2 linked regions of the Schizosaccharomyces pombe genome follow. The gene in region 1 interacts genetically with each later gene. Each region holds a gene or a part of one and is shown on either strand. Other genes may lie near its edges.

Region 1 (8,365 bases):
TGGCATTCAACCTATCATTATGCGCGATGGGAAACTTGCTTTGAACCCCGAGTTTTTCAAGAATGCAAATGGAGAGCAACAGGCTCCCAACGAGCAAGCCGTTCAAGCAATTTCACTACTCCAACAGCACATTAATAAGCAGCTAGGACCTGCCGCTGCCAACAACCCGGAGCAAGCCACAGCGATTGCGAATGCTCTCGCTGTGGCTTTAGCCCAAAAACTTCAAAAGCAGCAAACGCAAATGCAAGGGCCCCAACAAGTGCAACAACAGGCAAAGCGTCGTAAAGCTTATACTTCACAGCAACTTAATCCGGCGCCGACTGCAATGCCGCACCCTAACATAACATCACCGTCTCCTAGTATCTCAGTCACTCAACGTCCTGCAGTAAACGTTGGACCACCTCCATATGTTAGGCCATCTGCTCCTTCGAAGTTACCAGATACACGCCAGAGTATTGGAGACCCGTTACCCCCAGGAGCAATGGCTAATGTGTCCGCGGGGCCATCGTCAGTTCGATCATCGTCGTACAACTCCACTGCTTCTGAAAGCAAATCAGAGATAACAAGCCATCAAAATCTACACACCATACCAATAAACAAACCATTCACTTCTGATCGGCCTTTATACTCTTCGCCTAATGATACTTTAGAGAGAGTTGAAACAGGCAATCAAGGACAAAGGATGAATTCCATTGGAAATGCATCAAGCTTTAGTAAAAGAGATATAATGGAAAACGAAAATGGATCTTTTGATACTAATGCAAAGAACGGAAACAATGTTGACGACTCATCTTCAGTAAGGGGCATGAATTTACCATCAAACTCAAGCGACGCTTTACGAGGAGTAAAGCGACCGTTGGACGAGACATCATCCTCTTATACCTGAATTTACTAATGCTCATGCACGTAACGTTGTTGATGACTTCTTAATTAATACATTAGTGCCGAAAATTACACTTACCAGCATGCATAAGCTGTTTCATTTTTCTTTTTTTGACAGTGATTGCACAACTTGGTCTTTGGGTGGTTTCTACTTTTATTTCTCATGTGTTTAATGTTTACCTTAGTTAATACTTTACATAATAAATTGCCGTCTGGTTTTATTTCATTTAATAAGCATTTTCGTTTTCTTGTCGAAAAAGTTAATAGCAAAGCAGGAAGGGTATGGAGGATTCGCTTTTGTTATCTGTGAACATTAGCGATTCCTTATTTACGTTTTCATTGAAACCTTTGTTTAGCCAATACAGAAAGCATATTTACTTCAATGATTGTTTTTATAGCACTTTTAATAAGACCAAAACTATTATTGTTGTAATCCTGTCGGGCAAGCTCTCTGATCTGATAGACTTCAAAAGTTACATTGAATTTGTTTTGAAAACAAACAACTCATATTCAGCGATTCTAATTTCTTACTATAGATGTATATTTATCATATCACTTTTCCATAGACCGCTCACTATTCATTTCTTAACTAACTTAACTCACGGATGTACAAGAAGCTTCACAAAATAATATACCGAAACACTGGAAAACGCAAGCTATGTTGCATCGTCAAACATTCTACTCTCTATTTTTTTATGCGCTTCGATAAACCCCATATTATGGAGTCAGGGCATTGCGTAGTACATTTTATGACGTATGAGTGAGCTAATGCAGGCATCCATCCATTTTAGTCCAACGCCTCAGGTAGACTTTAAACATACATCTCAACCGTAACAAACGAAGGTAAATAACTGATTTGTATAGCTGAATTCAGCTCTTTTATTTTGGAAAATTTACCTCTTGTGGTTGATTAAAGTGTCAGGAAAAGCTGAAGCGAACAAAAACCGCGAGATTGTGATTCACTGAGAGTAAGAAACAAAAAACCGCATTTTTTGAAAGAAAGGCACGTAAACTTTAGGAGACATGTCTTTCGAAGAAGTATATGAGGAGCTAAAAGCCCTTGTTGATGAGCAAAATCCTTCAGATGTACTTCAATTTTGCTATGACTTTTTTGGAGAAAAGCTGAAAGCTGAGCGCTCAGTATTTCGTCGAGGTAAGTAGATGCTTCTGGATAGCTATGTTTAGTGGAGAGGAAAAGTAAATGATGGTCAATATGGGTTCTTTTTTGTGGTTTTTTACTTTGTTTTGCTCTATAGTAAGTATTTTCTAAATTTAGTCAGCAAACAGCAATTATGATTCCTGGCTGTTAATAATTCCACAAAGTTGTTTAAGGACCCTGTACCCATTTAATCTCCCACTCTATACTACACAAATTTTACCCTTTTTTGTTTTATCATGTTAACAAATTTCTCTTTTAGGCGACACCATTACAGAGTCTTTTAGCGACGGAGATGAAAGCGATTTCCTGTCTGAGCTCAACGATATGGTTGCTGGCCCCGAGGCAATTGGTCCGGATGCCAAATACGTTCCTGAATTGGGAGGATTAAAAGAAATGAACGTTTCATATCCGCAAAACTACAATCTGTTGCGTCGCCAATCTGTTTCCACTGAGTCGATGAATCCTAGTGCATTTGCACTAGAGACCAAACGAACCTTTCCTCCGAAGGATCCTGAAGATTTGAAAAGACTAAAGCGCTCAGTTGCTGGGAACTTTTTGTTTAAGAATTTGGATGAAGAACATTACAACGAGGTTCTGAACGCTATGACTGAAAAACGGATTGGAGAGGCTGGTGTTGCTGTCATTGTCCAAGGAGCAGTTGGAGATTACTTTTATATTGTGGAGCAAGGTGAATTCGATGTATACAAAAGGCCCGAACTAAATATTACCCCTGAAGAAGTGCTTTCGAGTGGTTATGGTAACTACATAACTACGATTTCTCCCGGTGAATATTTTGGAGAGTTGGCACTCATGTATAATGCTCCACGAGCTGCATCGGTGGTCTCCAAAACACCAAATAATGTAATTTACGCATTAGATCGTACAAGTTTCCGTCGTATCGTATTTGAAAACGCATATCGCCAGAGGATGCTGTATGAAAGCCTCCTTGAAGAAGTTCCCATTCTCTCAAGCCTTGACAAATATCAACGACAAAAAATTGCCGATGCTCTTCAGACAGTCGTGTATCAAGCCGGTAGCATCGTTATTCGACAAGGCGACATTGGTAACCAGTTTTATCTGATAGAGGATGGCGAGGCTGAAGTAGTGAAGAATGGCAAAGGCGTAGTCGTTACCCTAACCAAGGGAGATTACTTTGGTGAACTAGCTTTAATTCACGAAACAGTGAGAAATGCGACGGTACAGGCAAAAACTCGCCTGAAACTTGCTACATTTGATAAACCTACATTTAATAGACTACTTGGTAACGCGATCGATTTGATGCGTAATCAACCTCGTGCCAGGATGGGAATGGATAATGAGTATGGTGACCAATCTCTTCATAGGTCACCTCCATCAACTAAAGCATAAAATTTCTATAATCTGTTTTCTTTGAAACTATCTTTGTAATAATGACCTGTCATGATATGCTAAAGAATTTCCCTGTTGTTTGTTTGCCTTCTAACTTTTTCATATTGGTCATGCATGCATGTGATTGTTTACCATTATCCCTGGAATAATTTACTTATTCATGTTGAACATGTTTTGTTTGGATTACTTATCTAATTCAGCATTATATGTGATAATGTATATATACGTATTATTCTTTTTTATTTCTTTGAAAACCTTTATGTCTTGTTCTAGCATGGCACTGGATATGGTTTGTTAATGTTTTAATTCCAATTATATTCGTGATTACCACTTCACTGTTCTTATTTTGTTTTTTTTTTTCTTTTTGAAATTTCCTTTTTTTTTTATTATTTTTATCTGTCGAATATCGCAGCATTTGATGTTTGGAAGCTTACCGTTTAGTTTGTGTTTTTTTTTTCGTACGGATCATGACAGTTATTTTATCGTTCTCTTCATCCTGTTTTTTTTTGTTTTTTAATCGATATTTGATATCGTCAAATATTTCTATCTATATGGAGAGTTCTTATATTTGTTTTTTGAATAATCACACACTCTTCAAAACAGCAGCTGCATTCAATAATGTACTTGGCATTGGAGTAACGCACATTATACAAGAATTACCGTGGTCCGTAAACACTTGCAAGCATGAAATACTTAGAAAGCTTTAGGCAGACGCTAGACGTGGGGAAAGGGATGAAGTGTTAAAAATTCAAGAGTGTGGATGTTTTGTATGCAAACTGAGTGAGTTCTCGGTTTTTGTAGTTACGTGACATAACTTTAAAAATTTTATGAGAAATTGACTAATATCAAGAATTGAGAATAGTTTTTTAATACAATACACAAAATTTTTACCAAGTTTTGAGTAAAGGGGTGCAAATTAGATGAAACTACAGTCTGCGATAAACGATACGTGTAACTAGGAGAATGCAAATTGTGTAAAAAACTTATAAAACGAATATCTTGTTAGACAAATAAATTCAGCAAAAAGCGAAAGGACTTTTATTCAATTATCAAATCCGTACGAAATGGGATACAAAAAATTTTAAAGAATACTCAATTTCGTACATTCAATGTTCTTGCGAACATAATAAATAAAAAAACGACTACAGTTGCGAACTATGCGTAAGGTTTTCTTAAACAAGAAAAATTTTTTTCCCCATATTCCATACTACATATTTACTGTGAATGTTCTTAGTAGGGTAGGTTATTCACAACAAGCACAACGGGTAGAAATGACAATTACTGCAGAATAAAGTTAAGCACTCGAGATAAATTGTAATATTAAGAAGATGATCAGCGAAGCAATGTTTTGGTAAAGAAATGTTTTGTTTTGTGTCTTACTTTCGTCTGAATTAACTTTGTTTACATATGCATTTTTTCACTCACATAACAGGGTTTCGTATAAATTCTAGTTACGCCAAGATTTACAACTTCTACCAACCACCAAACAAGAACGCAGAGCGTGTAAAAGTAGAACAAAAATTGAGTTGAATATGACCACGAATCCCGATATTGTTAAACAGACGAAAAATGAAATTCACCAAGTAACGTCGAGAGTCCAGGAGAAGCTGGATTCGAAAAGTACCAACGCGGTCGAGCAGAATAACAATTCTTCCCAGGCGTCCGTCACCAAGGATAACAAGAAGAAGGCCGCTAAACGCGCCAAAAAGAAGGCTGCAAAAAAGAAGAAGCAGTCAGCAGCAGCATCTGCCTCTTCCACACCTGTGGAAGAAGCTCAGCACGCGCAAGAGGAACAACAAGAACAAACCATATTACAAGAGCCAGGATTTACACAAACTATAGTGGAGAAAGACGCTGATCAGGTTGACGAGCCTTTGGAACCCATAGCATCCTCAGCTCTGGGTACTGTAGAGCCGCCTACTGACAACAAACCCTCTGCCTCCACGTCAACAGCAGTGCCAACTACGGAAGCACGCAATACAAGTATTACCGAACCCGCCAATTCCCCTTCCTCCTCCTCCTCATCCGCTTCTACAAAGTCTACTGCAACCACACAATCCGCTGATTACGTCGTAGCCGAACATTTCGCACCCCAGCGCAATGACGAGCAACTCGGTAATTCCCCAGCTTCGATTACGTCTAAGCCAGCAACGACATCTGCTGCGCAACCTTCTTCGAAAGTAGAGGAAAACATGGCGAAAGCTACTTCACAACCCATTACTACCGCTGAGAAAGAAATTCCAGAATTGAAGCCCATTGAGCCTGAAGCTATTATGATATCGAAAGAAATAAATACTACGCATGATCAGGCAGCAGCTACGACAACAGCAGCAGTTGCCTCTGCCTCTACTACTGCCACTGCTGAGTCACATGCAGTGGCCGATGGAATTATGAATGATAACGTACTTGAAAGCATTGGTGAAAACGTTCAGCAAGAGACGGTTTTCGAGGATGCGAGCGACATTCCACATGCAGATGTCATCCCCCATACCACCACAGTAACGGTGGAAGAAGAATCGCCCATCGCCCTTGGCCAGGGAGGTGTGACGCATGAGGCAACAACCAGTGCTAGAGCTAGTGCTAGTGGCATTCCGGGAGCATTTGAAGAGGTGCAACAAACTGTACAGGAGGACCTTCCTCATCCCACCGCCGAAACGGTTGAAATCGCGAGATTTGCTGAACAACCCGTCCGTGCTCAGCAACCTGAGCAATACGAGTCTTCCGTTGTCCAAGAAGCTACTGAAACTGTGACCGATGTTGGCAAGGGTGTCTCTTCCACTGTCAAGAACGAGGTAAATGTCCCCTCGACCATTCCCACCGAGTCTGAAAACCCAGTGGCCGTTGGAGGTACCACTGCAGAACACCCAGTGCAAGAAGCTGTCACTGCCCCTACCGAGACTGCTCATGATTTCTCCAAGGAAACCACCACTGCTTCCAAAAGGGTGTCAAAACATGACAAGGCGTCCGCCGAGAAACATAAGGTTGCCAGGAAACCCTCTTCTACTGGACAAGAGCCAACGACTCCTTCCACGCCTGCCAAATCAGCCCAGTCCTCCAAGCATGCACGTAGACCTTCAAAACAAGCATCTGCTCCCTCCAGTCCCGGTACTACGTCGGCTGCTGTACCAGGAGGAAAGAAGTCCGCTATTGAAGCTGCTGCTCCTATCCCGACTTCTGCTGATACCGTCGAGTCTAAACATGCTGCTGGTTCTGGTTCTGCTACCACCATACCTTCTCCTGGTTCTGCCACCACCAAACCTACTCCTGGTTCTGCCACCACCAAACCTACTCCTGTTTCTGCTACTGAGGAACATGCTGCCGGCACTACCAAGCCAGCTCCTGCTGCTGGTGCCACTGCGACAGCTGAGAATGAGACGGCTGATGGAAAGGCACAAACCGCCACTGATGGTGAAGCAGCTCCCAAGAAGTCTTGGTTCAAACGTATGAAAAAGTCTTTTGGCAAACTGTTCCACTAGGGTTTACCTGGAAGCATTGGGCATATGTTTGATTTCCGTCTTTTATTTTTGTATGTTGAAAAATTCACCTTTTAGCGACATGACGGTGTCGATGATGATGATGATGATGATGATTTGAGTGAGTGAATGAGTGTTGCTGGGCTATTTGTTTGAAATTGGATTATTGATGTTTAATTATTCGACAATAAAGCCGAATTGTTGATCTAACAATCGATCGTTCATTATTTTGCTGTTTTGTATTCCAGTCTTTTTCTTTTCAAATCACTCATTAGTTTCCATAAGTTGGTTTGGGTAGTCTTAATTTTAAAAAATCTCCATCTTTGTATTTAAGGATTTTTTTTTTCGTATTTAATTGCTTTCCATTATATCACTTTGGATATTATTGTGTGATCGACTATGCCACTGAAGTGTTTGCGTTATGTTTTCTTTGATTTTGTTTGTAATGATTTGACTAGCATAACATGCTGTTTTTTCAAGTCTTTATACCTTTTCCTCTTTGCTATGTGCTTTCTTTGCGCATGTTGTTTCTAAACTATTCATGCAGCCATATGCGCACATATATACACATAAATTTGCTGTACATTGCTCAATCTTTTAAGTTGATTCCGATGGTACGGATTATACCTATTAGATTCAGCAATTCAAGTTTTGCGAAATAAATGGCTTTTACTATTTCAGTTTACTCGTTTCACTTGTGTAAGTTTTCTTCCTCTCCCATGTTTTCTTTTTTTAATTTTTTTAGTCTGGGTTAAGTAAGTGTAGAATGTAAGTTTATATGGGATTTTGAGGCCGTGGAACTTTTTACGCTTCGGATACCCTTTAGTTCTAGTTTTGGGATACATCGGCTCACAATCACCATTTCCTACCCGATACCCTTTCCCGTACTATTCCGTATGCTTGCTTTACATTAAGTTGCGCATGTACTAAGTATTTTAAATAGTAAATTAGACCAGTGTATATAATTTAAACAAATGACAAAATCTACATGGCGGTTGAAAACATTAACTTTTAACAATTTTTCCATGAATCGCTTATTTTTGAGTATATTTCATATTCATCCCGGAGTCAGCCATGACTTTTTACCGCATAACGTAGCTGTATTTTCCTTTTTATCTAAGATCGCCGACTCAATTATTATATGCCATAAATTTTCTATTTGATAACAGTATAATATACCCTTTACCAAACACACTACCTGCTATATAGAATTTTTTGCTTTACTACTATTAAAACTACTTCTGCAGTTTTGTTGTCGTAGTATATATTATTGTTGTTATTATTAATAGTCTTCGGTTCTGTCCATCCTTCGTTACCTTTTTTTTTTTTGAACAGTAGAAAACATGAAGGCAGTAATTCAGCGAGTTTTAAATGCTTCTGTTTCTGGTAAGTATTAATCAATATATACTAAGTTTGGACGGATTTTATAATCGGTAATAAGAAAATAAATTATTAATAAACTCAATGTTTATGAACTTATTTA
Region 2 (5,552 bases), on another chromosome or scaffold:
AAAGTAGGAGGAAGGGGGTGATAAAGTAAAGTGGGGATAAAGTAGAGAAAGAAGTAAAGGAGATATTAGAAGCGGCGGGTAAAACATGCACTAAAAGAAGTATATGAAAAGAGATAGTATAATCATAAAGAGAAAGAGGTCATAGCAATTCTCATGCAAGATAAAGGTCTAAAATTCGAGCTAGAGACAAGCTAAGTTAAAGGAGTGAGTTTAGGGATCATCGAAGATGATATGCTGGAAAGATGTTGGGTTGAGGAAGCGAATGATTTCAAATCTACCAATATACAAATACAAAAGCCATTGAGGAAAGCGAATGAAGAAGTTTACAAAATAATTTAATAAATAAATTAATAAATAAGAAGAAGGAAAATTAGAATTGTACTATGTTATATAGTAGTTTTGTTTAGAAGGTGTAATGGAGTTTAAGAGACAAAACTATGCTTGCGATCCGAGTCAATATACAAAGTTAAAAAGAATGTATAAGTGAAAGGAAAGACTGTTGATAATAGGATAATTGTTTGTATTTCGTTCAAAAGACTATTTATCGGTGGGGCGATAATTAGATTGATATAGCGATGATTCTCTCGTTGAAAGATGCCCCATGTCTTATTGTGCCCAAAAAATTTTCGCTTCCAGAAAATGTCACGTTCATATACATAAATGTTTCCCCACTACATTTTTGAAGGCGCTAATTTTGCTGAAAAGTAAATCCGATTTCGGTGGCTTTAGTATAGTATACAGGAGGAGTGGGTAGAATATTTTGCCAGTAAGTAAATAGTAAATTAGGTCAGATCCGAGACGGGAAGGCAAGAAGAAGGATTGAAAAAGGTTCAAGGAGAAGAGATTCATGAGAGCGATCGAATATCGTTACCACATATCGATCAAGATTATTTTTGTTTTGATTTTTTACTTGAAATCTGGGAACGCATTGCACTAGCAAGATTGCGCGACGCAACGTAACGTATCCTACCGCAACGATTTCATACTAAACGTCCTGTTAAAGGGACAAGCTCGTTAAGCTGGTACTGCTGCAATATCAGCACTCGTTTCAAAGTAGCATGTTGCTCGTAAATACGATATTCTTAGATGACGATGATCCATGCATGACTGATTAATAGTTCGTTTCTTAATTAACGAAGGTGGGTGTGCCCGCGTTACTTAGCTTGGCAAAGGATGAAAAAGTTTATACATGTGTGTGTGTCTAAGGGCATTGCAATTCCATCGCACATATCAACCAAAGTAGGTAAACCAGAGAACCCTTTAAAAAAAAAATAAAAATAAAAAAAGGCTTTCTATTAGCCCGGTAAATGAATTCGACGGATGACTGTCATGATCGATGAATAGTTGGAGTTAGCAATAAAAAAAAAATGAACGATAAGCGGCTAATTTCACATCAAAGGCTCCCGCGTTTCTATACGGACCGAAACACCTGCCGAGGCACGTATCCACTTGTTAAAACAAAAAAAAAACGAAAAACAGAAAAATAAACCCTCAAGAAAGGAATTCTTTCTTTCTATGAGTGTAACAAACATGGGCACTATGAAGATTGTAGACTTTTTAGATAGTACAATAAATAAGATTGCTACGTTCTTCTTGTCATATAATGTAGTCTGATACTTTTTTTTATCGCATTTCTACCGCAGTTTCCCGGGACTTCGTTACGCATGCTACTGCTTTTCAGTCGTCTATCCTACTTACTGTTACTGCTAGTGTGCGCTGCGGGGTGCTTTTGGTTGGCGGAGGTACTCTTGTCTTTAGCCCGCTACACCTGAAATCCCTAGTTTGCCCCGCTCCCCATTGTTCGACCTCGCTACCCTCAGAGCCATTTGATTGACTTTACATTTGGCTTTGTTTGTTTTCCTTTGGTTGGTGAAGGGTTAATTAGAATTTGAATTTCTCAGATGAGAGGGGGGGCTAAACAACGCACGCGTTTTCACCTTCTCCTCCTCTTCATCCCCATCTGCTTTGCTAAGAGATCCATTTCTTACAAATCATCCATACATCCTTAAACAAACTTTCTGCATCTCTCATTCTAGATCGTTGCAAACTTAGTTAACGAAGTTTGTTGGATTTAACAGTATGTGATGCTTAACAACAAGGTTACATACTTGGTTTAGTAGTTTTGGGGGGAATTAGGGGTTGAACCTTAAATGCTTTACCGGCATCAACTCGCTGCTAGATTTTGGTTAGGACTGGTTCGCGAGCGAGGCCTTACCTCCAAATTAGCCTGGTTAATCCCCACTTTATACCGTCAGTGCAAAGCATGCCATTTCGTCACGATTACCCAATGAACCAATGAGAGGGTTTGCCCTTGGAAAAAGCCTTAGGCCATATGGGAGTCATAAAATTAGGAAACTGGAGAAAATCCACTTTACCCCGCTTTTGCATCGTAAGTAAACAATGGGGTAAATCACCTAGTTTCAAGTCGTAAATTTCTCTTCCTTTACTTATTACCCCAAAAGCAGCAATTTTCACATTTTTTCAAGGCCGAAGGTGGTTGCAGCTTACTTGTTGTATACTCACTTGAATTCATATCGTTGAGCTTGTCCTTTTGTCTACTAGAATTCTCAGCTCTCCTGTTTTCTTCCTTGTCAGTGTTGACGGTTTTTTCTCCTTTTTTTTTCTTTCTACGTGTCTCAAGCTCTTCTTCCTTTCCTCTTGACACACAAATATTATTAAATTAAACAAAAAATCCTTCTCATCTATTTTCCACTCTTCAAGCCTCGTAGACCGCTGCTTGCCTTATTACTTCCAATCGTCTAGTCTGTCGAGTCGTTCTGCCTTTCATAGCCTCTGCCTTTTCTTCTATTGGCATCAAATTTCAACTTTCTTGTATCCCTCGACGTATTTTCAGTCTGTAATCGTGCCGTAGCACTCTTTCACCCTTGGTTTAAGCACATCTCCTTGCTAGCAATTCGCTGCTTCTTCTCTTGCCCCATTGCAACTAATTTCGTTTCTACTTTCAAATTTTTGTTTTTGTTTTTCTTTCCTTGTGTTTTGTTGTTTCCTAGCGCTGGTCTCTTCATTTTTTTGCTTGCCAAGGGGTTTCTTCGATTTCGACTAAAAACCTTTCATATTTACTTCGACGGGCGTTTACTTGTTTCCATCTGCTGCACAATCGCCTTTTTTTATTACGGCTAAGACACGAACTTTAGATTTTGAACTGTGTGAGTAATCCCCGATTACTCAATTTTAATACAAAGAATAAAGATTTGTCGAAAAAGATGAATGAAGCCTCAACTTCATTTTAGCCTTTTCTTTTTTATTGTTATACTATAAAAGCTTTCTTAATACAAAGTTTATCTACTTCCCCCACAATCTTAATTCTTTTTTTTTACTACTTCCTTCTCGACAATTGCCTGCTTGATCCGCTGGTTCGCGTGTATTCCCGTTGATTCGTGCTTAATTTGGAATCGGCCTTTTCCACTCTACTAATCTTTACCTCTAGTAAACCTTTCCTTTAATTTGAGAATATAAGAAATTCTCTGTCTTTATTTAAGTGCTTTTTGGTTCTCCCGCAAAATGAAAAGTTACGAATGCCCCTTTTGCAAGCGTGTTTTTCATCGTCAAGAACACCAAGTCCGTCACATTCGGAGCCACACAGGTGAAAAGCCTTTCGAATGCAGCTATCCAAGTTGCAAAAAACGCTTCACGAGAAGAGATGAATTGATCAGACATGTTAGAACACACTTGCGAAAGGCCCTTGTTACTCCGGAGCAGACACTGGATGTCAACCTCCACAAAGCCCCTGATTCGAAACCGGAAGGTGACAAGTCTACAGGTCAAGAAGCTGATAAAAGTCAAAATCAAAGCAAGGATGGCTCGATTACTGACCCGGTTCAAGCCGCTGTACTTGCTCTTTCAGTTGCTTACGCCAAACCCACCTCTGTCTCGCTGTCTCCCACCGACTTGCAAGCCCAATCTAAGCTAATTGAAAAACCAAGAAGACGTTCCGCCTCCAATGCCACCGGCTCCTTAAATAAAAAAAATCAAGATCCTTTGAGACGGTTTTCTATTTCAGAATCAGCAGGCGCTGCTGCTCCAACTCCTTCTCCCTCCAATTCTAAAAGTCCACCTTCCGAAAACAGAAAGAATCGTTTACAAAACGTTCTTTCACCAATTGCTAGCAACAACGTCCCTGATTTTAATCAGAATTATCCTACAGAATCGAATCCTATGTTTTTATCAACACCACGCTTCCAAAACACTAATGGACAGCGTACCTTGACCGTTCCCGTGTCTGTTTGGGATGCTCGTCAACCTCCTACTTCATCCCGTTCAGGTCTACCTCTTTCAGTGATGTATAATCATTTCCCGTCCGTCCCCATTCCTCCAGCGACTGTTAATGACACAAGCATGGAATATTATCTTCCTAATGCTTATCCTCATCCTACTGGAATTTCTTTACCCTTTTATCCATTCGACAGTGGTATCCCTGTTTCGCCCAACATTCCGGTTTCTCCTAGTTCATCCTTTGTTCCAATGTATCCTACTACCTTTCCGTCAAGTAAACCACAGATTGTTAACGCACCTCCCGCCCCTTCCTACTTTTCTCCAGGCAGTTCATTTGGTGCACAACTTTGCGCCAACGGCTCCACATTACTAAGGGCCGATACTAAACAGTACGGCCTTGCTTTACCAAAGATAACTAATTCTAACTTAATAAGTCCAAATCAGACATTTAATCCTGTTAAAAGCAGTGTCAAAGCTCTTCCTACCCTGGAGCCTCCTTCAAGTCCGTCTCACGCTACCGCCACCTCTTCTTTGCATACCTTGTTCCATACTGCTCCTTCCAGATCTTATGATTAAGGTAGCTATTGAAGCCATGATAGGTGAATGAATCCGCTCACTTATTTACATTTTGAAGTCTTTTTACTGATCGTTTTTTGGTTCTTAACCGAGGTAACACCTTGTAAAGTATTGTCCTATCCTCCACAATTTTGAGGTAACATTTCCGCAGCTTAAATTCTGAGTTTATGATGACGTCGAAAGTAGGTTGCAACAGATTGCGACTGTTTCAACTTCCTAGTTTCGTTTACCCTCTTCGTCTTTAATAAACCATTCAATTTTTTTTACGTTTTTTTTTCTTTTTTTAAAAAAACTAATTATATATACCTTTTTTCCTTTTTACGCTTACCTGAAACGAAGAAATTGACGTCTTTGGTTCCTTCCTCCCTGACTGACTTGAGTTGCCCAGGTCTGTGACAAGCCAGTTGGAAAGCTAGCTAGCTATCCCATCCGCACATTGTTATATATTCACGTCCTCGGAAATCCAACTTCTTTGCAAATTCTTATAAAAAAGATCTTACTTGTTATAAACCACGAGTTAATGTAACAAACACGTTTTTGTTTTAAGTTCTTCATTTCACACTAACGGCGCGTGCTGCTTGAGTTTGTTTTGAGAAAAGTTACCTTTGGAAACATCTGTGTTTACTACTTATTTATTTGATTAACGACTTTTCATTACCATCCATCCAACTTCATCATCCCTCTTTTATTTTTTTTGACGTAAAATAATTTTAAAACATTTGGCTTCTGCCTTTAGTTTCAAA

What was found.
Region 2: of cgs1 (region 1) and rsv1, extra expression of one rescues a mutant of the other (dosage rescue), as found in Schizosaccharomyces pombe (one study listed by BioGRID).

The regions. Positions count from the first base shown.
Region 1 is NC_003424.3:3,641,334-3,649,698, forward strand, and holds cgs1 (cAMP-dependent protein kinase regulatory subunit Cgs1), read left to right. Parts: upstream 1-1,695; 5' UTR 1,696-1,905; coding exon 1,906-2,035; exon of another isoform or gene 2,036-2,300; coding exon 2,301-3,409; 3' UTR 3,410-4,303; downstream 4,304-8,365. Other genes in the region: DNA-binding forkhead transcription factor for ribosomal proteins Fhl1, read left to right, coding at 1-886; SPOM_SPAC1142.09 (uncharacterized protein), read left to right, coding at 1,165-1,512; SPOM_SPAC8C9.04 (uncharacterized protein), read left to right, coding at 4,942-6,885; dtd1 (D-Tyr-tRNA deacylase), read left to right, coding at 8,226-8,268.
Region 2 is NC_003423.3:2,884,928-2,890,479, forward strand, and holds rsv1 (DNA-binding transcription repressor Rsv1), read left to right. Parts: upstream 1-3,522; coding exon 3,523-4,809; 3' UTR 4,810-5,052; downstream 5,053-5,552. UniProt on the Schizosaccharomyces pombe protein: Involved in maintaining cell viability under glucose starvation conditions. May have a role in regulating genes involved in gluconeogenesis.